Linked DNA regions of Lonchura striata. The protein of the gene in region 1 purifies or fractionates together with the protein of each later gene. This does not show direct contact. Links are inferred from orthologs where the notes say so. Each region holds a gene or a part of one and is shown on either strand. Other genes may lie near its edges.

Region 1 (7,721 bases):
AGCTCCAGGTGCTATTTAGCTTCCAGGTCTCTGGACTCTGCAGTTTGGCAGTGGCTCTGACAACATGCCTTGATCACTATCGTTTTTAAATCCATGAGAAATGTCATTCTGAAGTGCAACAAATAACGGTCTGATTATCTGCTGGATCCTAATGCTACTCCCTGGAGATAACAAGCTGCAATTTTCCCCCTGGGCCATACAATAATCGCCCCAATTACTCCCAAGCAGTGGTTATTAAACTCATGGCACCGCTTTGGTTTACAAAGCAAAAATCATTAAGCAGGTGTGTGTGTGTGTGTGTGTTTGTTTGCTGTTTGGCTGGGAGTGACCGAGGTTGTTCTTGTTTTGTTCTGGGAGAGGAACTCCTGGTGGCTGTGGAAAACCTCCATGGCTTTCCCGCTCTGTGTGGCACAGTTCTGTCAAGAGCCTCCGGATGATCGACCAAATAAAATGCAGTTGGTGTCTGTTAATGCTGGGCCAGGTATCCCGGAGGATGTAACCTCTCTCCAAGTGTAACGTGGAGGGATTTAGGGAGATAGTGTGGTTAGCACAGCTGGGATGTGATGGGCATCTCAAACACAGCCCCGGCCCTGGCAGGAGCGGGCGTGCTGCTGTGCCTTGGATGGATTGCAGGTGTGACTGCAGGGTGACACCAGTGTCCCATGCCAGCACAGGTGTCACCCACAGCTCCATCAGCCTCCAGGCAGAGGGCACAAGGTCCCTTTACCTTTGTCCCAACAAGACCCATGCTGTCAGGGAGATTTGATGTGTCTCTGCACACAAACACACGATGGCTCGCTCGGACATGGAGCTTCCAGCTGCTCAGGGAGAACAGAGCGAGCAAGAGGAGGGAGGGATGACCAGGACAGGGAGGCAGGCTGGTGAATTATGCATGACTCCAGGAGGGGAGCGTTATCTGCATGGACAAAGGCCTGTGCCAGCAGCCTGGCTCCGCTGTACCTGTGCCTTCCTTCGCCCGCGCTTTATCTCCGCTCCCAGCTTGTAATTCAGCCCAAATATCAGAGGAAGCTGGAAGATTAATTTTCTCTGTTTGCATGGCAAAGGAGAGGGGACACGCTCTCACTCCCGACTCCCAGCTGTTTAATCCTCCACCAAGGCCTGCCGAAGGAAAAGGCAAAAATTTATCAGTGTTGGCAAGTCGCTGGTGTGGGGAGGGGTGTTGGAGCCCGGGGCCCCCCACAAGCAGGTCGTGGGCACTCACAGCAGGCTTCATGTGTGGGTAGGGTTTGGGGGGCACTGAGAAAATGCAAACCCTTCCCTGCTCCCAGCATTTGGGTCCAGAGGAGGGTGTGGGCTTGGGAGAGCCGGAGTCAATGAGTCCCTCCGGCGTGGGAGCGTTCATGGCTGTGAGTCGCTCAAATATTTAAGAGATGACAACTGTATTAATACAAAAACTAGATAAAGATCCCTTGAGTTTAAAGACAGAACCATCAGCTCAGCTTTTATTTCCCAGCCCTCTCCCTTAGCTTACTCCCCGGCTTAAATGAAATCATAAATATCGGCCCACAGAGGTCCTTTGTCACCGCACGCAGCTCCCGGCGACAAGAGGTCATTCATTAAAAGCCAGATGAAGGCAATAGAGACTCCCTTTGTTTTTTAAGGAGTTCAGGGTAAGGCCGTGGCTTCTCTGCTGGCATTAATGCACCGGTGGGTTTGGCTCATCCCATCCAAGTGATCTTCACCCCAAAGTTGATGAAAGAAACATCCCGGGTTCTCTCAGGTGGGACATCACAGATGAACCTGGTTTGTTGCTGGACTGATGGCAAAACCAGAGCCCCTTTTTCCCCCTCCTCACAGACCCCATGGTCTCATCATCCCCCTCCCCACAGACCCCATGGGCTCCTTTATCCCCTCGTTACAAACCCCATGGGCTCCTCATTCCCCTCCTGCCAGCCCCCGTGGGTGATGCTCTGGCCACATTTTGCCCAGCTGAGGGATGGCCGAGGCCCTGCAGCTCCCACCCAGCACATGAGCCTGATGCCATCTGCCGGCCTCTGGCTCTGGCCAGCCAGGAGAAATCAGAAATTAATTCTCTAAAAGGTCCATCTCCCTCTGGCTAAACTCCAACTGCCCCCCCTGCCCAGCCTGATGGATTTTTTCCTCACACTACTGAACAACTCCTTTTTAACACCCCTGCTGTATGAATGAACCAAGAGAAATGCACCTAAGATAATTTCCCCCCATTTTTTTTCCCTGGAGAAAGGTTGCTGTCTTAAAGTTTCTCATTCCCCTCGCTTCCCCCTGCCTTTTTATTTTTTGAATGACTGTTTATGAAGACCATCGTGGTCTAACTGGTTTTGGATTAAAAGGAACTTAATAAAGGTTTCCCCTGTGCACAAAGCTGCACAAATGGGTTTGCAATTGCAGAGTTAATTACAGGAGCTGGGCAGAGCAATCGGTGTTTGCAAAGCTTCACCAGAGGATGAGGCTGGCAGGGAGAGGTTTGGCTTTGCTCTTTGCGCACACTGCGAGGCACTGGGGCAGGTTTCCTTCCATTTTCCCCAAAAATTGAGGAATGGGGTCACCAGGGAATGCCACTGGCATCAGCACCAATCCTGGTGACATCCTGGGGTCTCATCCCAGGGTCACATTCCGGGCTCAGCCGGTGTTGCCCAGAGAAGGGTCTGGGGTGGCTGGAGGAGAAAGGGCTGAAGAGCAACCCAGCGAGGCTGAGGGAGGAGCTGGAGGAGAATTTCTGCTGCCTGAGAATGTGAAGTGCTTCCGCCAGTAATCGCCGGAATCATCAAATTAGCATAAATTCTATTAACGGTTTCCCAGATGAGACATTTCAAGGCTTCTCCCCCCCTCTTCCTGACACAAACAAAAAGAGAATATAATTACTTTGCCATAAAGCAGCTCCTGAAAAGGCCCTCAGTCCTTCTGCCTTTCTTCTCCTGTGGAATAAAGCTCCAAAGGAAAGGTGCTGCTGATCTCTGTGCTCTCATCATTCATCAACCAAGGAGGAGGAAAGAAACTCCACAATGGTTTTAGAGCCTGGGCCTGAGAGCAGGGGCCCATTTGCCAGGTCCACAGCACAGGTTGGGGCAGTTCTGAGAAGCTTTTTGGGGTGCTCAGATCCTGCTGCCCTCCCGATTCAGAGGGAGGACGATGGTGGAACACATATGGAAGAAATGCAATTTGTGTAACACAAGCCCAGCACCTACTGCAGTAACGCACAACAAGCACCGCGGGGGCAATAATCTAAAATAATGTGCTTTTTTTTTTTTATTGGCACGAGATTGCGGATGACGATTTGAAAGAGAACAGAATTTGCTTATGAGCAAAAAGCCTCCTTAACTCTTCAGAACGACACTAAAACAACTCGCCTGCCTATAAATACAATCTGCCAATAGAGGCATCTTAGCTGTGAAGATTTAATTACAGGCAGGAGCTGCAGGAGACTCGGGGCTGAAGCAGCCGAGCCTCATCACAATTGGGGGGATGTACCTGCACAGAGCCAGGTGTAACTGTCAACCTCCAACTTCAGGGGCAAATTGGGATTTTGGGTGATTTCCTGGACTAAAAGTTAATACGTCAAGGTCAGGACCTTTCTCTCGCTTGGCCATTGGCTCTGAGGATGAGTTGTGTCTCTTCTAGGCCTCAGTTCCCCTATAAATGTGGATAATTTTGGCTCTCTTCTTCAAGGAAGCCTCAGTAACATTTACTTTCCCAAAGATCCTAAGGCTTTTTACAATCTATTACAAATTAATTATTATTAAGTTAAAACAAACTATATACCCTAAATAAAGCAGTTCCAACAAAGCAGCTGGATGATGAGAGCAATCTGCTTTACAAACTCCCTTTTCCACTGCGCAATTTTCAGCATTTAGTTCCGCTTTCTAATTGCTAATATCCATTCTTCAATTACCCGCTGTTTTGTTTCAGATTTAAAAGATTAAAGCACGTTGTTATTTTATGATTATGTGAATTCCCTTTGTGTAATTGTTGGGTTTGGGTTTTATCTGTTTGCATATTAAACGCCTGCACAGGGAAGAGTCATACGTGGCTTGAAATGGGTTTTGCCTTTGGCGCAAGTTGCCGGCTGTTACTCAAATCAAAGTTTGGAGACGAGGAGCAGGCAAAGCATTGTATTTCTCAAGTGACAGCACCCCATAAACAGCCTCACGGTGAATTTCAACGTTCTCCCGCTGCACCCAGCCCCTTGCCCTGACCCTTTGCAGAACCAGCACGGGGCGCTCAGGCCCACACGAGCCCTGCGCCCGTGGCTTTGCTGGAAATAACAACCCGGTTTGGCCTGAGAAGGGCTTTTCCTGCCCCGAACAGCCCCTCTGGAGCGGTGGGCACGGAGCAGGCCCAGGCCTGAGGGTCCCGGGCCCTCCCGGCGTCCCCGTTGCTAAGCAACGAGCGCTGGCACCATCCGCCATCACAAAATATGGCACCTGGGCGGCTTCAGCGCGCGGGCAGCCGCGCCCCGCCGGGCAGGCAGACCGCGCCCTCAGCAGACATGGCACCGGGCTGGCTTCAAGGAGCCCACTGAGCGCAGCCAACGAGAGGCAGGGGGAGGGGACGGGGGGAGCCGGGGCGCGCGGCGATTGGCTGGCGGCGCGGATTCAAACCGGAGCGCGGGGCCGTTGGGGCTGCGCGCGCCGCTGGGGCCGGAGCCGCGGCCCGGGCGCCGGAGCCTGAGGGGAGCCTGAGGGGCTCGGGTGAGTGCGGGGACCGGCTGGGAGGAACCGGGGGCTCGGGGGAGCCTGAGGGGCTCGGGTGAGTGCGGGGACCGGCTGGGAGGAACCGGGGGCTCGGGGGAGCCTGAGGGGCTCGGGTGAGTGCGGGGACCGGCTGGGAGGAACCGGGGGCTCGGGGGAGCCTGAGGGACTCGGGTGAGTGCGGGGACCGGCTGGGAGGAACCGGGGGCTCGGGGGAGCCTGAGGGGCTCGGGTGAGTGCGGGGACCGGCTCGGAGGAACCGGGGGCTCGGGGGAGCCTGAGGGGCTCGGGTGAGTGCGGGGACCGGCTCGGAGGAACCGGGGCTGAGGGGACTGCGGGGCATCCTGAAGGCTGAGGGGGGCCCTGGGGGGAAGGATCCCGGGCCCGCCCAGGCCCTTCCATCCCGGCGCTGTCGCAGCCCCGGCCGCCCGGCTCGGAGGGCGCTGTACGGGCCGGGCTGCTCCCGTCCCTGCGGCCTCGGGGGTCGCGGTGATGGTGGTGATGGTGATGCTGGTGATGATGGTGATGCTGGTGCTGGTAATTGAGGCACCGAGCTGGGCGTGCCCCGCGCTGTGCGTTCGCACGACGGGGGCAGAGCTTTTCCTCTCGCCTCGTATTGCACCTATTAAAGTATCGAGGTGTTGATGCCCCTGTGAAGTCTGTACCTGTGGAACAGGTACCCCAAAGCCTTCTGTGCTGGCAGGTTTATGTGCCCTGCACCTCTCCCAAGCCTTCCAGCACTCGCTCATTTCCCAGCCCCTGGTGCCCTGCCTGCTCCTCTCTCATTTGTGAAATCATTTCTGTCTTGCTGAGCTGGAGACTTTCCCCTTCGCTGCCTCTGTTTATGCCGTTGTTGCTGCTGTTTGGGAGAAATGTGCTGACTGGTTGAATTTTAACAGCTATTTGCAGGAGGAGCTGTAAGTTAAAATGCAGCTAAATATAAAACTGTATTAAAATTCCCCGGAATGTTGCTCCTATTTTTATCTTACAAAGTGCTGAAAACTTGCAGGTTTTTAGTGGCCTAGATAGTACCAAGTTATTTGTGGGCAGGGCATGGGCTGTGTTCTGTAACCTTTCTGAAGGGAAGGACTTGGGATCCCTCATCTTGCCTTGGGTTGTGAGTGTCTCTGCTGTGCCGCGGGACAGTGGAAGCACTAAGGTGGGCAGATCTGCCTCTCTCCAAGGCTCTGTTATCCATAAACCGTGGAGGGCTGTAGATTTTCATTCCCAATGAGAAAAAGTAGATGCATATATCTCCATAAAACATGAATTTTGTTTGTGCAGCTTCTCAAACCCGCCTGAAAGCATTACAACCAGTAACTCTGAGGCTGGTTCTCTTTCCTTTGGGCTGGTTTCTGCTCGGAGGTGGGAGGGAAGGGTTGAGCTGCTTGTTCAGCTGTGTTTTTTTGGCAGGAGGATGGAGATTGCCATGGTGAACCTGCGGGGTCTGTACGAGCATCTCACGCGCCAGGCCGAGCTTCTGAGCGAAGGAAACGAATGCCGTGAGTTTTGTCCCTGAAGAATCTGCTGAAGATGCTAAAACCAGACTGATCTGGGCTCTTCCTTTGTGGAGAAACATCAAGTCCCAGCTGAATTTCCATGCAGGGTCACGTTCTGCTTGTAGCAAACTGGCTTTGTCCTGTGTTCCAGCTCTTCTGGGTGGTGCTGAAAGGAAGAAAAAAATGAGAAATGGAAGAGCTCATGGCCATCTCTTGTGTGGCTGGCTTCTCCATGCCTCAGTTGGGAGCAGGAGGAAGAATGTCTTCCTGGAAAAGCCAGTTGGGGATTGGAGGGGTCTGCCCAGGGAGGTTTGGACACATCCCTGGAGGTGTCCAAGGAATGGCTGGACGTGGTGCTGTGGGCTGGGTGACAAGGTGGGGATTGGGTCTTTTCCAACCTCAGGAATCCAGGGATTCTTTGTGAAGCTGCTGTTAGCTGCTCCTCTGCTTGCCCAGCTAAGGCTTCATGTGCTTTCTCCTCAGAGTTTATTCAGTTAGCCAAGAACTTTGAGGAGAACCGGAGGAAATGGCAGAAAATAGAGGAGGAGCTCAGCAGGTGCAAAGATCGCCTCATGAAGACAGAAGCTGAACGCAGTGCCCTGGACGTGAAACTGAAACATGCCCGCAATCAGGTGGACGTGGAGATCAAAAGGAGGCAAAAAGCTGAAATGGACTGTGAGAAGCTGGTGAGTAATTCCTGTGTTACCCCTCAGCTCTTGAGAGTGTGGAGACAAGGCGATTAAACTGCACTGATCAGTGGCAAATAAGGACTGGCACCCATGGGGAGGAAAGGAAAACTAAAAAGCAAGGAATTGGCTCGGCTCCTCGGAGCAGCCTGCTGCTTTGATCTGGGAAAGGAGACTGGCTGCTGATGGAACCTAGCTGCCATTACCTGTCTGCAGCCATTAGCAGTCCATTGACACAAGTTCTGAGAGCTTATCTCGGCTATCTCAAGCGCTGGGTCGGGTCTTACAGTAATTAAACACGGTGTATCCAGCTGCTGATATTATCTTTGTTTGAAGGAGAGGCAAATCCAGCTGATTCGGGAGCTGCTCATGTGTGATGCCTCCGGCAGCATCCAGCTCAGCGAGGAGCAGAAGTCTGTCCTCGCCTTCCTGAACAGGCCACAGGCTTCAGTGGGAAGTGCAGGCAACAAAAGGTAGGGAAACAGCATTTCATCTGAAGTGTCAGGCATCAATCCAGCTGTCGGCCCCTGTGACACATCCTGCACCCATGTCAGCAGTTTCCCTTTTTGTTCCACTTTAAAATACGGCTCTTCTGAGTCAGTGGGATTGTTCTGGAACCGTGACTGACTGAAAGCCAAACTGATACAAGCTTCTTCTAATTTGTGTTTTTTTAGGCTGTCTACAATAGATGAATCTGGCTCAATTCTGTCAGACATCAGCTTTGACAAGAGCGATGACTCACTGGTAATGTAACTCCATTTCTCAAGTTCTCCTCCCCTGTAAAGCCCGAGGGGAGGGGGTTGATCTCCAGAGACCCTTTGTGTTTAGATTACTGGGATATTAACCTG
Region 2 (6,997 bases), on another chromosome or scaffold:
GTTGGTTGGAGTTGATAAACCTGGTAGCACAACAGAAGTGAAGCTGCCTGCATCTTTGTCTCGCCAGGTCTAGGCAGCATGAAGGCTGTGTGTGTACTCCCAGTAAGCACACAAACACGCTGATGTGTGTGCACATGGCCAGCCACACAGACAAACACATATAAAACTAGAAAACAGCACTTCTGCAAATGGAAACAGGACCAATGCCATAATCCTCTTCCCCTCTCTGGAATGAAGGTGTGCAGTGGAACATACAGAGAAGACATACAGCATGGGCCTTTTAGTAACAGGACAGATGCTCGTTTATCCAGTAGTCAGCCCTGGATCCTTGTTCCATCCAGCTGCAGATACCTGATCATGGCAAGACCTCAAGGCTCACTGCCCCAGTTAGTTTGCTGGCACCCACAGACTGCACATCCACTCAATATCCAGCCTTGGGCAGTTCCCCTGTTAGCTGGCCCTGGTACCCTCTGGTCTTTGATCCTCTCAGGCAGATCCTCTGGTCAGATCCTCTGATCCTCTCATGGCACAGCAGTAAGGACTGAAGAAAGTCCAGAGAGCTGAAAGTAGTCAAAAGCTGGGTGAGTAGTAGGGGAAGTGCCATTTGTCATTGTCCTGCTCTTGATCTTTCATGGTATCCAGCATGCTCTGAGCCAGAACTGACATTCCTTGATACCTGGCAAATCCAGCTGTATGTCTGACAGACAGTGGGCTTTTAGCTTCAGCACAGTGGCTGGATTCTGTTGCATCCAGACACTGAAGAAACTGCAGCATCCTGCAGAAATCAGTAAAAAAATCGGTTTTGATACAAAAGTGCTTAGCAGCACTTTACCACTCTGCATCTGGTAACACTCATGTGTGTTTCATGCTATTCTGTAAGTACAGATTTCATATTTAATGTCTCTGTCATGGGATTTTTGACAGCCACAGAGCCAACCTGAGGTGGGGTGGTGTAAACCCTGTGAAAATAAATTGTCTGTAATGAAATAAACCCTGCCTTAAAGTTGTTGGTTTTGGCTAGCTTTCCTGTGGAAGTGAGGTTTGAACCATCAGGGTGTGTCTTCAGTGACCTGGGCAAATTCAACAAGCCTCCTCTACACTGGTGACAGGTTCTTTTGGTGCAAAGCTGAAGGAGGGGCTACAGCCTTACTTTATTACTTGTGAGAGAATATGCACAGGAGGAAGTAGTTTATCTTCAGTCAGAGCTCACAGCATCTCAAACATCAAAACAAATCAATCACAAAAGGCAAGTACACAGGAAACCAATTGTCTTTGTTTAATGACAACTGGCATCCAAGCAGTGGAGCACCTCATACCTCTCAGAATAAATATATTTGGGTTGCAGAGCTTCAGGGCATGCATGAACTGCCTTTTCCTTAACCTGTATGTAGCAGCCTGGAAGCACCTGACCAATATCCACCACATCATCCCCATCCCTCCAGGGCTAAAGGGGCCAGGAGGGGTTTAGAGGGGTTCCATGAAGAGGACAGCTGCAGTCTGGGCTGGTTTTCTTCTTCCCATAGGAGAAATCAGTACTACATGGCTTTTCCAGTGGTGACATAGTGCAGGGAGCCATGGATGGCTCCAGCCAGGGCATTGCGGTCAAGCTGCCTGAGGGACATTGGATTCCCAGTCCTGCAGCTCTCTGTGAGTCAGGGTGGGGAGGGAAGTAGATGTAACAAGCCTACCCCAGGGAGAGAACAAACCCAAGGAGAGTTGAGCTCAGTTCTGCAGGTTGACAAGTTTGCAGAGCCTTGTGTAGCTTAGGGAAATCTACCCCAGTTACAGCTCTTCCCTGAGCCAATAGCCAGAGTGGCTGCTGCTTTCAGAAGTAACCTGTCTGCAGAGCTCTGGATCTCATTGTGCAACAGCAAACTTCTCAGGACAATATTATTTTGTTCAAGAAGTACTCAAAAACTGTCCAATTGCAAAATTAATTTCTTCTAGGGGGTCAGGATGCTGCACAGTGGCCATTCACACCTCCCATGCCTCCAAAATTTGTGTGGTGAAAACCCTAGGCTGGTAGGAAAAGAAAAAGTCATGACTGATAAGAGACAATGACAAAACAAAACTCTCATCCCCGTCCCCAGGAGAAAATTGTAGCTGCCTGCTCCAAGCTAGCATCACACCTCCAACTGTTCTTCTCCCCAGCCACAAGATCCTTCTGTTTTTCAAGAAACTGCTGGTCCTCACAGCACAGAAGGGATGTTAAAGCAGTCATGGAACTGAGTGATACAGACTGGAGGAGATGCCTACCAGACTGTCCCTACCCTGCAGTGTTGGCACAACTGAACCTGAGAGAAATACTTTTATTTGTTTCAGAAGGCAGATGTCATCAGCTGGGTGCCAAGATGAATATGACCCTTCTGTGCCAATGCTCATCTGAGCAGTAAATGTAAGATGACAGTAAATGTCCTCCTGAAATTAGCACAAAATCCTCGTATCTCAACATGTGCAGATTCAGGAGTGGACACAGGAACAGTGTCAATGTGACAAAATTAATTACTTCATGTACTGCTTGCTCCTATGAATGCTTTTAAACCCTATATTTAGGGCAAGAAAAAAGAAGGTTCAGAAATAAGGGGTAAACATTATCATGACAACAAGCAGCAGAGCAGAGTCCACACTCTGTGGACATACTACCCAGCTTTGTACACTTCCACCTGTGCAAGCAAGGTGAATCCAACCATTACATAAAAATAAAAAAAAAACAAAAGCAAAACAACAAAACAAAAACCAAACAGAACCCGCCAAGTCGACCAAACAAGCAAAAGGTCATAGCTTTCAGGAGCAGTGTTGAATTAGTGAGGAAAATCCTAATTGCCCAGATCTCCAGTTTAGGCTACCCACCCTGCCAAGGCTCCCAAGCACAACACCTGAGATACTTTGGATCAAAAATGAATGGACAAAGGGAAAATCAGTTAATTCTCAGAGCTCAGCAGTGATAAGGCAGCTTGCCAGAAGCCTTTATCTCTTTTATTTTTAAAAAATCAGAGTGGGCTGCGGCCACACTATACTAACCACTATACAACTAAAAGCAAATACACAAAGCAGAATGCCTGTATTATTCATCTGACATTAAGATTTTAGTCTTTAGGAGGCAATTTTCCTACAAATGTGTAAATTGACATGTCTTTAGTAATATAACTGGTGACTACAATGCCTATTCTTTATCTTCCTACCTATCTTGAGGCTACAAGATCCTTCATATTTTGACTGCAGCTTTTCTTCACCGTGCCTGCCAAGGGCAGTTTCATGAAGAACAGGAGTCGGTCCTGCAGCACCAGCTCGCTACTGGTGACAGACTGGCATAATTTTTGGCACGAATGGTTTTGGCTTTTCCCAGCGTGGTGTAGCCATCCCAACATAACCTCTCACCGTGCCTCCCTTCCAGCACTGACGTGCTTTCTGTGGGATTGCTGCGTGCCCGGCATCGATTTATTAATTTTATGAATTTTATTAATTTTATTCGGCGCCAGCCGCCTCCCGCCCTGTCGTGCGCAAGGCATGCCGGGATTTGTGGTCCCGGCCGTAGCTCGGGGTCCTGAAAGGGGGGGACGGACTCTCGTTCCCTGGCACGATTTGACCCTTCTGCCGCCCCGTCCTATCCCCCTGCCCCCGCCCGTTGCCGCGACGCCGCTCGCCGCAGCACATTCCTGCGCGGGCTGCGCTTCCGGGTCTGCCCTACCGGCGCCTGAACACAAAAGTGAGATCCTCGGCTCGTCCCGGGCTCCTTTCCCGCAAGAACGGCCTGTTATCCGGCCTCGCATCCGCGTCCCAGTTTAGCAATGGTGTTCCGCTCGGCGGATAGGCGGACACCGCCGCGGACGGGGGCGGCGCCGATCAGGCAGCGGGGCTGGCGGCCCTAGAGCAGCCGGATGAAGAGGGAGGCCGGGGGCCTTCGGCGCGGCTCTCCCCGCCCTGAGATGCCAGCCCGGCAGTTGGCGGCGCAGCTGCGAGCGTGGTGCGTGCGGCCGGGCGGGACAGCGGGCTGGGGCGGCCCGGGACAGGGGCCGTGGCGCCGGGAGCTCTCCCTCGCCGCGGGGCAGGGGGTGAGACTTGAGTCTCCACCACGAGGCCGGGATGGGCTGGAGAAGGGGGAACGGCGGGCGGTGGGAGTGCGAGAACTGGTAGCGCTGAGTCCCGCTGTCGCGCAGGTCCAGCTGTCGTGCCCCGCCGCAGGATGGAGTTCGAGTTCCTGGAGAACGATGTGCTGGAGTCGCTGGAGGACCTAGGGTACGTGTCCGAGGCTGGGGGCGCGGGGCGGCCCCGGCAGGGACACGGCGACGCTTTCCGCCCCGCACGGGCGGGGCCGCTGCCGCTCCGGAGGGCCGCGGCTCGGGGCAGTGCATGGAATGGTCCTTTTGGTCACAGCCGGCCTCAGGGCCGGGCTGCTGCTGATGCCCCAAGCCAGACGCGCAGGCTTGTAGCTGCATGGCCTTGGCGAGTCTCTCGCTTCTCCGTGCGAGCTGATCCCCTCGATTCTTGGATGCCATCTGGTCTGTTGCTGCTCTGTTCTGCACAGCGGCCCTAGCTGAGGGTGGGGTGGGATAAAGAGATACGTTAGACAATAAAAAAGCCTTCAGGCTTAGTATTTTTTGGCGGGGAGGGCGGAGAAAGAGTAAAAAGCATTGCAAATAAGCAAGTGTTTTTCTTCTTAACATATTTTAAAGGGTACTATAGTACAGGAAACTTCTGCTGTGTAAACCTGTTACTTTGTCAGAGTCAGGAAAGGCTGCATAAAAAAAGAAAAGCATGAAAGGAAGAGCGTGGAGAACATGTCCTGCTGTAAGCTCCCAAGTCTGTAACCTGCTAAGAGTTCAGAAGACAGGCAGCTACAATTTCACTCTACTGCCGGTTCCATGCAAACAGCTGTATTTACTCACATTGGCCCCATTCCCATAAATCACTTTGTGACTAGAGTCATTATGCTCCAACAAAGATTGTATTTTCAGGTTACATTAGTGGTGATAGTTGCAATGCTTGACAAATAGATTTCTGTTTTAGCAGGTATTTCTCTGACTGAAATGTGAAAAGGCATCTCTTTCACAATGAAAATACTGTGATTGGCTTATTTTTTTGTGTTTAAAAGGACACTAGTGGCTTGAAGGTGATTTGTGCTTCTGATCTGTGCAGTTATAGACAGAAAGTGTTGTTGATTTTTGACGTAAATGCGTAAAGCGAACAGTGAAAGTAGATGAACAAATAAATTATATGAAGCAAAATTGACAACAGTAAAAAAAAGAAAATTTTGAGCATGAAAGACATAAGACCCCAGCAATATTGGGAACAACTGGGAAAACTATTGCACGTGTCTAAAGGACTTCTGATTTTTGGTGTCTGGAAAGACGGGTGTTTGAGGCTTTATGTTTTGGCAGTAGCTCCATGGTCTTCATGGTTCATCTTATTTTTTCTCATCAGATACTGAAGATATTCCTAATATATCACTTGATTTTTTTTTCTTATATCAGTACATGTTAGAGAGCTGTTTCTTTTTCTAGTTGTGCTCGAGGTGTTCAGATGGTGGCCTCTTGTCTTGTACATCAGCTTGTTGAACTGTTGAAAGAGCAAACAGATGGGATAGCACGAAGTTACCAAAAGAGAGCATAGCTCTGGAACACATGTCATTGGCAGCAACAGAAGGAAAAAGCTGCTTGCAATTAGGAATCTGCAAGTTGGATTATTGGCCAGATTGATGTGTAGCTGAAGTCATAATTATAAGAAATTACACACTCAAGACATTACCTCTGTTAAAAAAACTTTCTAGAAAAGGTGCCTCTAGAAGATCTGAGCAGGGACTTAAATCCCAATCCTGCCAAAGCAAAAGGCTTTCCATTGCTTCCTTGCTACTTTGACCTGTAACTGGCTGCTTCTATTTTGAGTCCCAGATGTTCCTAGACCTACACATGTAGAGATGGGATGGGACTGAAACTTGCTCTGATTAGCTTCTTGAAGTGTCCAGCCTGCTGTGGTCATGCAGTAGGGTTGTAATACATGAGATTACAGCTTCTGTCCAGCTGCCAGTAGATTAACTGTGTCACCAATCAAGCTGCTCTGTGAGGTAAAAGTTATTTTTGAGCGTGGCTTCTTTATTTTACTTGGCTGAAGTAACAGGCCACTACAGTGAAGGCCAAATCCTTTGTATGTCGTATTAAGCACAGGAGCAGAGTGAGGAGAATTTCATTTCAATTTGAGATGTTCTTTTATTGCCGAGGTTTGCCAAGAGTTGCCTGGACTTGTTGGATTGTTGTGAGGTAGTGGATGACTTTACCCAGAAGTTCCCAAGAGAGATTTCGTTTAGTTATGAGCACTCTTGGATGTCTTTGTCTTTTGGGGGCAGTATATCAAAATTATATTGTACGTGTTTTTTCTAAAATACTGAAGTAAACTCTGACTTGTGCTTCTACCTGGTTAATAAGGCAGCCTTGTCTCTACTCTTCATTCTCCCCCTGAGAGATGGTCAGTACACAGATGTTCTGAAAACTCAGTTTTCTAAGATCTGATCTGTAAACACATGCTTTCTTTCGGTAGGTCTGATTTTTGGCTTATTTTGCTTATGCAAAGAACCAATTCCATTAATTTTTCTTGTGTATATTTAGGGAGGTTGGTTTTTCAAGAGATGATATTGTTATGCAGATCACTTTTGTAATATTTCTATCAAAGGCTTTGTTTTGTAAGGCAGCCCTTTCATATGTGATAGGAAATGACAGTAAAGATGCACTTGTTCAGCAGTAATTATTTAACATACTGTAAAGCAGTATGTAGAGCTCAGGAAGGATTCTTTGAGACTGCAGTTGCCCTGGATAGGTCTGTTGTCTGTAACATGTTCAGGAGGTGGCAGCAGTGAAGTTGCCACTATACATGGTAATATTGTGGAGGAAACTTTTGACAATGCAATTTTGTGACAGTTTTTGTGATGGTAAGTTAATGTGCACACAAATTCTGAGTTTACTCTGATGTTTTCCATGTGGTTCTTGATACAGTTCAGTCCAGGAAT
Region 3 (7,310 bases), on another chromosome or scaffold:
AGATTTAAAAAGCCCTGACTCAAAAACAAGTTTTGGCAAGCAAGTCTCAAAAATGCCCCTTGAATCAATCACCAAGCCTCAGAAGCAAAATCCCAGCCCCTATCCAAAAGCCCACACTCGAAAAGCAGGTTCAAAAAGGCTCCTAAGAGTCAAAAGGCAAAGGACGGAACAGCCCCCAAGGCTGTTCATTTTTATGCAGTTATTTTTATGGCCTTGTCTCCTCCCAAAGTCTGCCTGCTGACAGGAGTGCGTTGGCCCAGGCCAATGTCCCACTGCAGTCCATTGGCAGAGACCTTTTGCCATGGACTGCTGAGTGTCTCTGTAGTACAGTGCCTCTGGGATTCTCCTGCTGACACATGAACTGGCTGCCAGGCAAAGCTCCCCAGAGACAGGGCTTTCCTCTGTCCTCTCCTCGGTGCCTCCTGGACATGGCACACGTGCACCCCCTCCTCATGTGCCTCTGACAGCCATTGTTGAGGCATAATAAACCTAAACAGGCTCCTCACAACAAGGTTCAGTTTGCAAGGTCAGTCTGCTGAAACTTGCATTTCTGAAAATTAGGTGGTTGGCAGTACCAGGCATGTTTGTGGTTAAGAAAAGCACAATGTCCAGCAGGCAAAGCAGTAAGAATTTTGGAATCAGTAAAGTGAATTGCAAGAGAAGAATGGTCTGTTAACATGAAAATCCAAATAAGCAATGCAGTTATTGGGTTTTTTAAAATATAAAGTCGCTGTTAGAACAATCCTAAAGCCACCCAGTATATTCCTGAAGAAGCCAATATTGAGAAGATTCTGAAAATAATTGAGAACAGGTTTGAAAAATTCAATTGCTTTCCTGGAAAGAATCAATGCATTTAGGTTTACAGTGGTTTAAATTTATACTGCTACAAAAGAAAATCTAAAGACTGAAGAGATACCTGTCAAAGAACACCAGTTACCTAACACAACCTGTAATGAGTCAACTAATTAACAGCAATCTACAGGTATGTGACACCATTCATCCCCTGCCATAAAAGTGGTTTGCAAATGCATTACTGAAACATGTGCAGTAAAAAATATTATCTGCATTTTCCAGCACAGAAATGGAGGCTTAGAAAGACTACAGTGATTGCCATGGCAACAAAGAAAATGTGTGCCAAAACGAGAAAGGTACACAGGAATGTTTTGCTGTCTTATGTAGTGGTCTCCTTCTAGTTTTTTTTTGTTTTGTGCATACTTGCTTCTTTCCCATCGCTGTCACATCTCTGCTGGCTTGGCTCAGCTGCTTATTCCGCACATTTCATAAACATTTTCTGATTTGCAAGCTTTATATTAACTAACAATTTTTGTCATTGCATGTAATTAAATAATTTGATATTTTGATTTGGTTTGTAGTTTAAGGTTGCCTAGTACTAAGACATGGTTAAGAAGATACTATTTTAAGACATCTTAAAGCAGAAATAGTTTCTACTCTCAAATGAGATATGTGTATGTCTACAAAAGAGAATTAGTACCAGCAGCAAATTAGAATGAAGATTTTTTTTTTTTTTTTTTTTTTTTGATCAGGACACTGGCTAAAACACTCCTATTTTTCTTCAGGTTTTTAACTCTGGGTCAGATTTTCAGTTGTCATGAACAGACATTGCTCCAGGGAAATCCATGGCACATTCTCTGATTGAGAATGACCAAGTGAGTTTGTTATCCTACATATACTCCTGTAGATGGGGTTTTTTTTGTAAACCCACATATGGAAGGCAGGGATATCCTGGCCCTGTTGGCTGCATGCTCTTACCTGTAATAACTGGAGCCACCAGGCTGCACCGTGGAGAGCTGAGGCTCCTCTTACCTAGTGAGGTGTGTTAGAACCAGGCTTTGAGCCATCACAGCCTCACTGATGCCTTTGTGGCAGCTGCATTGGAAATTCTGTGATCTGTGATATGTCTGGGGACACCCAGAGGAGCCAAATCCCACATGTGGGGTTTGTTTTACCATTGAGCTTCTTCAGTTAAAGTTACTGAAATACCAAAAGACAATTATCTTTTAGCAGTAAGACACTAGTTCCTTTCTGCATTTCTTTAGGCTTATATAGCTGCACATGTATTCATTTCTGTAAAGCAATTAATGATCTTCTGTGATTTTCAAACCCTATTTCCTGTGTCAAGTTGTGAAGTGGAAGCCTATTTCAGATTTTTAAAAGACAAAGTTCTGCATATGAGCATCCCTCACTGTTTTAGCATTTCAAGGGATACAGCAGGTGAAAAAATCTATTTGGGCTCCAAGATAAGACTGGGGATTTTAGAAACATCTCAGTGATCCATCCCTTTCACAGGAGCAACAGCAGTGAGATTTCATTCAGAAGTGTGAGAGCTGAGAACAGAGTGTGAGGGCAAGCACTTTCTCTTCCTCCTCTCAAACTCAGGAGTGTCATTGTTCCATGTAAGATACTGCCAGTCCTCTGGACTTCACACAGACCTGGTCAGTCTTACAGGGGAAAAAAAATAAGCTTGGGAAAGAGTGCAAAATAGAGTAGCTGAGGTAAAAGGAAAGTGTGCTGTGCAAAAGGAGACGGTGAATTGCTAAATGAGGTTCAGAAGAGCACTAATTCATGCTCAATAATAAATTGGATGGATAAACATTGTAGGGAGAAAAATAACTGAGCTCAGGAAAATAACTGATTGTCTGGACTCTGCATGGACATGCTAGCTGAAAAGTGGAAGGTTTCCAACAATAAGAGGACTGTTTCTATTTCCAGTATGATGGGAAGGAAACCACCTGCAGAGGAGTTTTTTGACCAAATGGAGCTTAGTATGTTGATGACACTTGGCAGCAGCAATCAGTGGCTCTGGAAATCAATGGCCAGGGTTGTGTTTCTTTGAAGTAAAGCAGCACTTTACAAGGACTGGGGATAATTAACCAAACAGTGTGTAAGTTTTATATAATGGAACACAATCTGCCCCCAGCTATTTTGTAAACAAAACAAATAGGGGTAAATGGGTTGTCTGATCTCAACATTGTGCCTGTTTCACTGTGGTGAGGAAGAATAGATCTTCCCACTGTACGCCCTGAGGAGTCCCTGAATTCATTGTACCTATTTAGAGGAAAAAGAATCGAAACATCTAAATATGGGAACCTCCATAGCCATAATTTTACGGTTGTATAGTTGCTCATCCACCAACATCTCCAAGTTTCTCCCCAGGAATAGCCTCAGTCCATTCTCTGCCCAGCCTGTACCTGGGCAGAACCTTTTGTTCAAATGCATGAGGTTGGCCAAGAGGCCCCTTTCAACCTGTGAAAATCCCACTGGTTGGCATCCCTTCCTTCCACTTAAAACATGCCAATTTAAAGACACTATTTACAAACACACTCTGCTTTGAAAGCTTGACCTTGCCAATAACCTTTTGGGAAGGATTCAGATGTTCAACTGTAGTTTTGTAACCAATAGTGATAGATGACAACTGTATGTGTATGGTTAAACACCCATGCCCGGTATAATGGTTAAATTCTGGCAACATTCAACAGAATCCTCTTGGGGACTAAACCATTCTCTGCTTGGGGTTTCGATGGCAGGGCTGGTTTCAGCGGCCCACGGGAGCTCCTGCCGCGGTCATGTCGGGTGGCTCGGGCCGGCGCTGCGGGACGCGCGGCGCTCGGCGGCGGGCGGAGCCGCCCCGCCGGCGGTCCAAGGCAGCCCTCTGCCGGCCGCTGCTCTTCCGGAGCAGCTGCTTCGGCTCCCCCGCATCAGTCACCGCTCCCAACACGCGGAGTGGCCTCGGGAGAGGCGCCGGGGCGTGAAACAGACTGGGGTTGTGCATTCTGATCAGGGGCTTTCTGTGTACGAACCGGCCAGGGCTGGAGTTCGTTCATTTGTTGCTGATTTTTCTTTTTTCTTTTTTTTTTTTTCTTTTTTGAGGGTGCTGATTGTTGGGTGCTTTCACATTTTTTGCGGCTTAGCCGCTCCTTCTCTCCTGGCGCTGTGCATCCGCTCCCGGCAGGGCTGACAGCGGGGAGGTCCCGCCCGGCCCCGGAGCGGCCCGGCTCCGCGCGCCAACGGCCGCCGCTGCGACAGCCAATCAGAGCGGGGCGCTGCCTGCCGACGGCCAATCAGAGCGGGGCGCTGCCTGCCGACGGCCAATCAGAGCGGGGCGCTGCCGCCGAGAGCCAATGAGGGCGCGGCGCTGGCGGCCGGCAGATGCGCGGGCGGTTTGAAGCCGAGCGGGAGGAATGGCGGAGCTGCGGCCGCCGGGACCGCGGGGGGACGGCCGGGACTCGCCGGCGGCAGGCACCGGCCCTGGGGACCGCCCCGAGCAGACCGAGGGTACGGACGGCGTGTGCCTGCGGGCAGGGAGGGCGCGGGCAGCGGGCAGGGCCGGGCAGCGGGCAGGGCCGGGCAGCCCTCGCCCCGCGCTCGGGCGGTGCCCGAGGTGCCCTACACGCTGCGGACACGAGGGCGGCCGGCTCGGGCTGTGCTGTCCGCGCTGCTCCGCCGGGGCCCGGATCCCCCATGCAGGGTAAGCCCGCTTGGCCGCACGTCCCTGGCACCGGGCTGGAAACGAGGGGAGGGATGTCTCTGGAAATCAGCACTAAAATGTGGCGTAGTTTTCTTTTTGTTAATCGTGAAGTTCTAGTGTGTTTCTCAGTGCCTACCACGGCGCTGAAATGGGCGCCCAGGAACGTATGTGGGTTTGAAACGCTTCAGCAGGGCTAAGTTAAGGCGTGCTGTAGGAGCAGACTCGTGATAGACCTGGAGCTGAACAGGAGCAGGAGTGAGTGAGTGAGTGCTCGAAGTGACAGGGGTTTGCTTTACCCCTCCTCTTCGCAGGTCTGCAGCGGGAAGATGCCGAGAGTGATTGGAGTGCTGACTCCTGGAGTGACTATGGCAGTCGTGACAAACCAGGGACTGCTTTGGGAAGGACGGTGCCAGACGGGAACGTGCTTTTCCCAGATATTTTCCACACCAATCATCTTTTGTTTTATGACCGATTCAGCGCTTACCAGGATTATATCTTGTGTAAGTAATTTTTTCATAGGAAAGTAAGGCAGACTTGGGTTTCTTGTAGTAACTTTAAACAATTCAGTTTAAGTGGAGTTAATTGTATGTCTTAAGCCGTGAGATGACTTTAATAAAGGAGGAAAAGATAGAGTGTCCTGCCATCACTTATGCTGTAACCTCAGCTGCTCTAGCTGGTGAACCAGGAGGCAGTAATTTTGATATAAGTAAATAAACTATGAATGATGGAAAGGCAGAACTGTCAGTAAGCTGTGGATCGTGTACCTTGTTTTAGCTATCTTCCTAATTTTTTTTGTGTATTGTAAATCTCTTTAAGATAAGGCACAGGTTATGTGTTTAATACTGTTGTATTTAATATTCTGTTATCGTGAGCATAGTATAATGCAGTCCAACTTAGAGGCGGTAGAGGAACATTTCAATTGTGTTGACTTTCATTTTCCAGTGATCTGGAGTTTTCTTCCACTCCTTGCATAAACAGTGTCTTCAATTTCTTTTAGCTGACTGCAAAGCTTCTGAGGTGAAGCAGTTCATAGCTGAGTACCTGGAGAAGGTCCTTGAGCCCTCTGGCTGGCAGGCGATCTGGCGCACTAACGTGTTTGAGGTCCTCCTTAGGGTGAGTGGGTTGCTGCTGCTGCTCAGGCATTTGTCTCCACTTAACATCATTTACCTCTCTAACAGACTTCTAAGTCTCTCAATGTCCAGGTCGTATGTCTGTCTTGCAAACCTTGGATATTTAAACTTGCGGTACCATCACATGGTTGAGGAGGGAAAAAGTTTGTGACCCCCTCAGCTCTTTTCTGCCCAGTTAGTGACAGAATGGCTTTCACTGGCCCAGACTGTCTCTGGATTGTTTGTGTCCTGTGGGCACTTTGAAAAATGAACCTCAAAGGAGTCCCAAAGGGCTGTGAAATACTGATTTGAGTCTGAGGATATCACTTCTGCCATTTTTTAAAAACACCAACACAAAAAGAAAGGGAGGGGTGGAAGCAACTTAATGGCCTTCTTATGAGTATTATGAGGGATTTGAATGAAGTTTTGGATGTGGAAAAGGCACTTTAGCTGTGGGGCTGTGAGAAGCTTAACTCTGGGTTATCACTTCAGCTGATGAGATGGCCTTGGCTGTATGGTACCGTTTCTGTTGGTTTGTGTGGGGTCAGTGGGGACCCGGCATGGCCCTGGCTGAGGCACATCACGTTCCCCTCCCTCAGCTGATCCGGGCTTCTGAGGGATTCAGAGCTGTTTGTTCCCACAGGTGGTTGATGTGAATTTCCCAGCCCTGAAGGCAGTTGTGCAGCTCAGTGAGCCCTTCCTGTGCGAGTCCCAGGACAGCAGCTTTACCCTGGAGTGCATGCAGGAGCTCCTGGAGCTGAAGGAACATCAGATCCTGCTGCAGGAGCTGTGGGTTGTATATGATGAGTCAGGAGAGTTTGACCAGACAGCACTAGCCATAGAGCATGTCAGGTAGGACAACTGCACCCTGCTGGTACCCAGTGGGTTCTGTCCTGAATTCTTGGGCCATACTGGCAGCTCCACAAGCCAAGCTTTCCAAAGTAAATCTGATGACTGGTGCTCTGAGGAGACTGCTTTCCCTCTCTCTTTTTCACCACAGAGTTCCTTGGACTGTATCACCTGTTGACTAGTATACTGTTCTTTCTCCTCAATAACATTTTGGTGGATTTTTCTCTTTTTTTTTTTTTTTTTTTTTTTTTGTCCCATTCATTTTTCTGCATTTTGCCTCTTCCCTTAAATTTGCTCTTTATTCTTTAGGTGTCTCTTCACATATTATTTTTTTTCTTCTTTATTATCTGTCTCTTTTCCACCTCCTTTTCTTTCAGGCACTACATGCTGTTTGAAATCTCTACAAATAAGCTGTAGGACTGGACAAAAAAACTGATATAGGAGGAATGACCTACATTGTAAGAAAGAAAGATTAGCTGAGGGGTGATTGGCCAAAACCAAGTAACCAGAAAGCCTCAGAATCTGAAGAGTGTCAGTCTTGCTTTTCAAAACCAGGTTTTGGCTGGTTTCACTCCTTTTTGAGAAAGTAGAACACAGGTTATTATGAATTCTGAGCTTAGACACACAGAATAGAACTCTATGATGACTTTGTATGTACTGAGCAGTGTATGGGACAGTAATATGAATTTCTAGTGAGAGGTGATGCTTTGAGGTGAATTTTCAAATTGGTTACATTGTGTTTCCAGTGCTTTGACTCTTCTCTCCTGTGTGGTTTGACACTTTCCTTCCAAAGGTTTTTCTACCAGTACATCTGGAGGACCTGGGACGAGGAAGAGGAGGATGAGTTTGATTACTTTGTGCGATGT

What was found.
Region 2: the proteins of RACGAP1 (region 1) and FAM98A purify together in Homo sapiens (co-immunoprecipitation; 3 studies listed by BioGRID and IntAct, with this or other methods). This does not show direct contact. The link is inferred for Lonchura striata from reciprocal best matches to the Homo sapiens genes RACGAP1 and FAM98A.
Region 3: the proteins of RACGAP1 (region 1) and SHCBP1 purify together in Homo sapiens (affinity purification with mass spectrometry; 8 studies listed by BioGRID and IntAct, counting the BioPlex papers as one, with this or other methods). This does not show direct contact. The link is inferred for Lonchura striata from reciprocal best matches to the Homo sapiens genes RACGAP1 and SHCBP1.

The regions. Positions count from the first base shown.
Region 1 is NC_134629.1:8,762,214-8,769,934, reverse strand, and holds the start of RACGAP1 (rac GTPase-activating protein 1), read left to right. Parts: upstream 1-4,629; 5' UTR 4,630-4,688; intron 4,689-6,101; 5' UTR 6,102-6,105; coding exon 6,106-6,190; intron 6,191-6,670; coding exon 6,671-6,873; intron 6,874-7,209; coding exon 7,210-7,346; intron 7,347-7,547; coding exon 7,548-7,617; intron 7,618-7,721.
Region 2 is NC_134605.1:35,870,994-35,877,990, reverse strand, and holds the start of FAM98A (protein FAM98A), read left to right. Parts: upstream 1-3,886; 5' UTR 3,887-3,964; intron 3,965-4,157; 5' UTR 4,158-4,183; coding exon 4,184-4,236; intron 4,237-6,997. UniProt on the Homo sapiens protein: Positively stimulates PRMT1-induced protein arginine methylation. Involved in skeletal homeostasis. Positively regulates lysosome peripheral distribution and ruffled border formation in osteoclasts.
Region 3 is NC_134615.1:9,849,864-9,857,173, reverse strand, and holds the start of SHCBP1 (SHC SH2 domain-binding protein 1), read left to right. Parts: upstream 1-4,199; coding exon 4,200-4,293; intron 4,294-4,797; coding exon 4,798-4,986; intron 4,987-5,483; coding exon 5,484-5,599; intron 5,600-6,238; coding exon 6,239-6,447; intron 6,448-7,237; coding exon 7,238-7,310. UniProt on the Homo sapiens protein: May play a role in signaling pathways governing cellular proliferation, cell growth and differentiation. May be a component of a novel signaling pathway downstream of Shc. Acts as a positive regulator of FGF signaling in neural progenitor cells.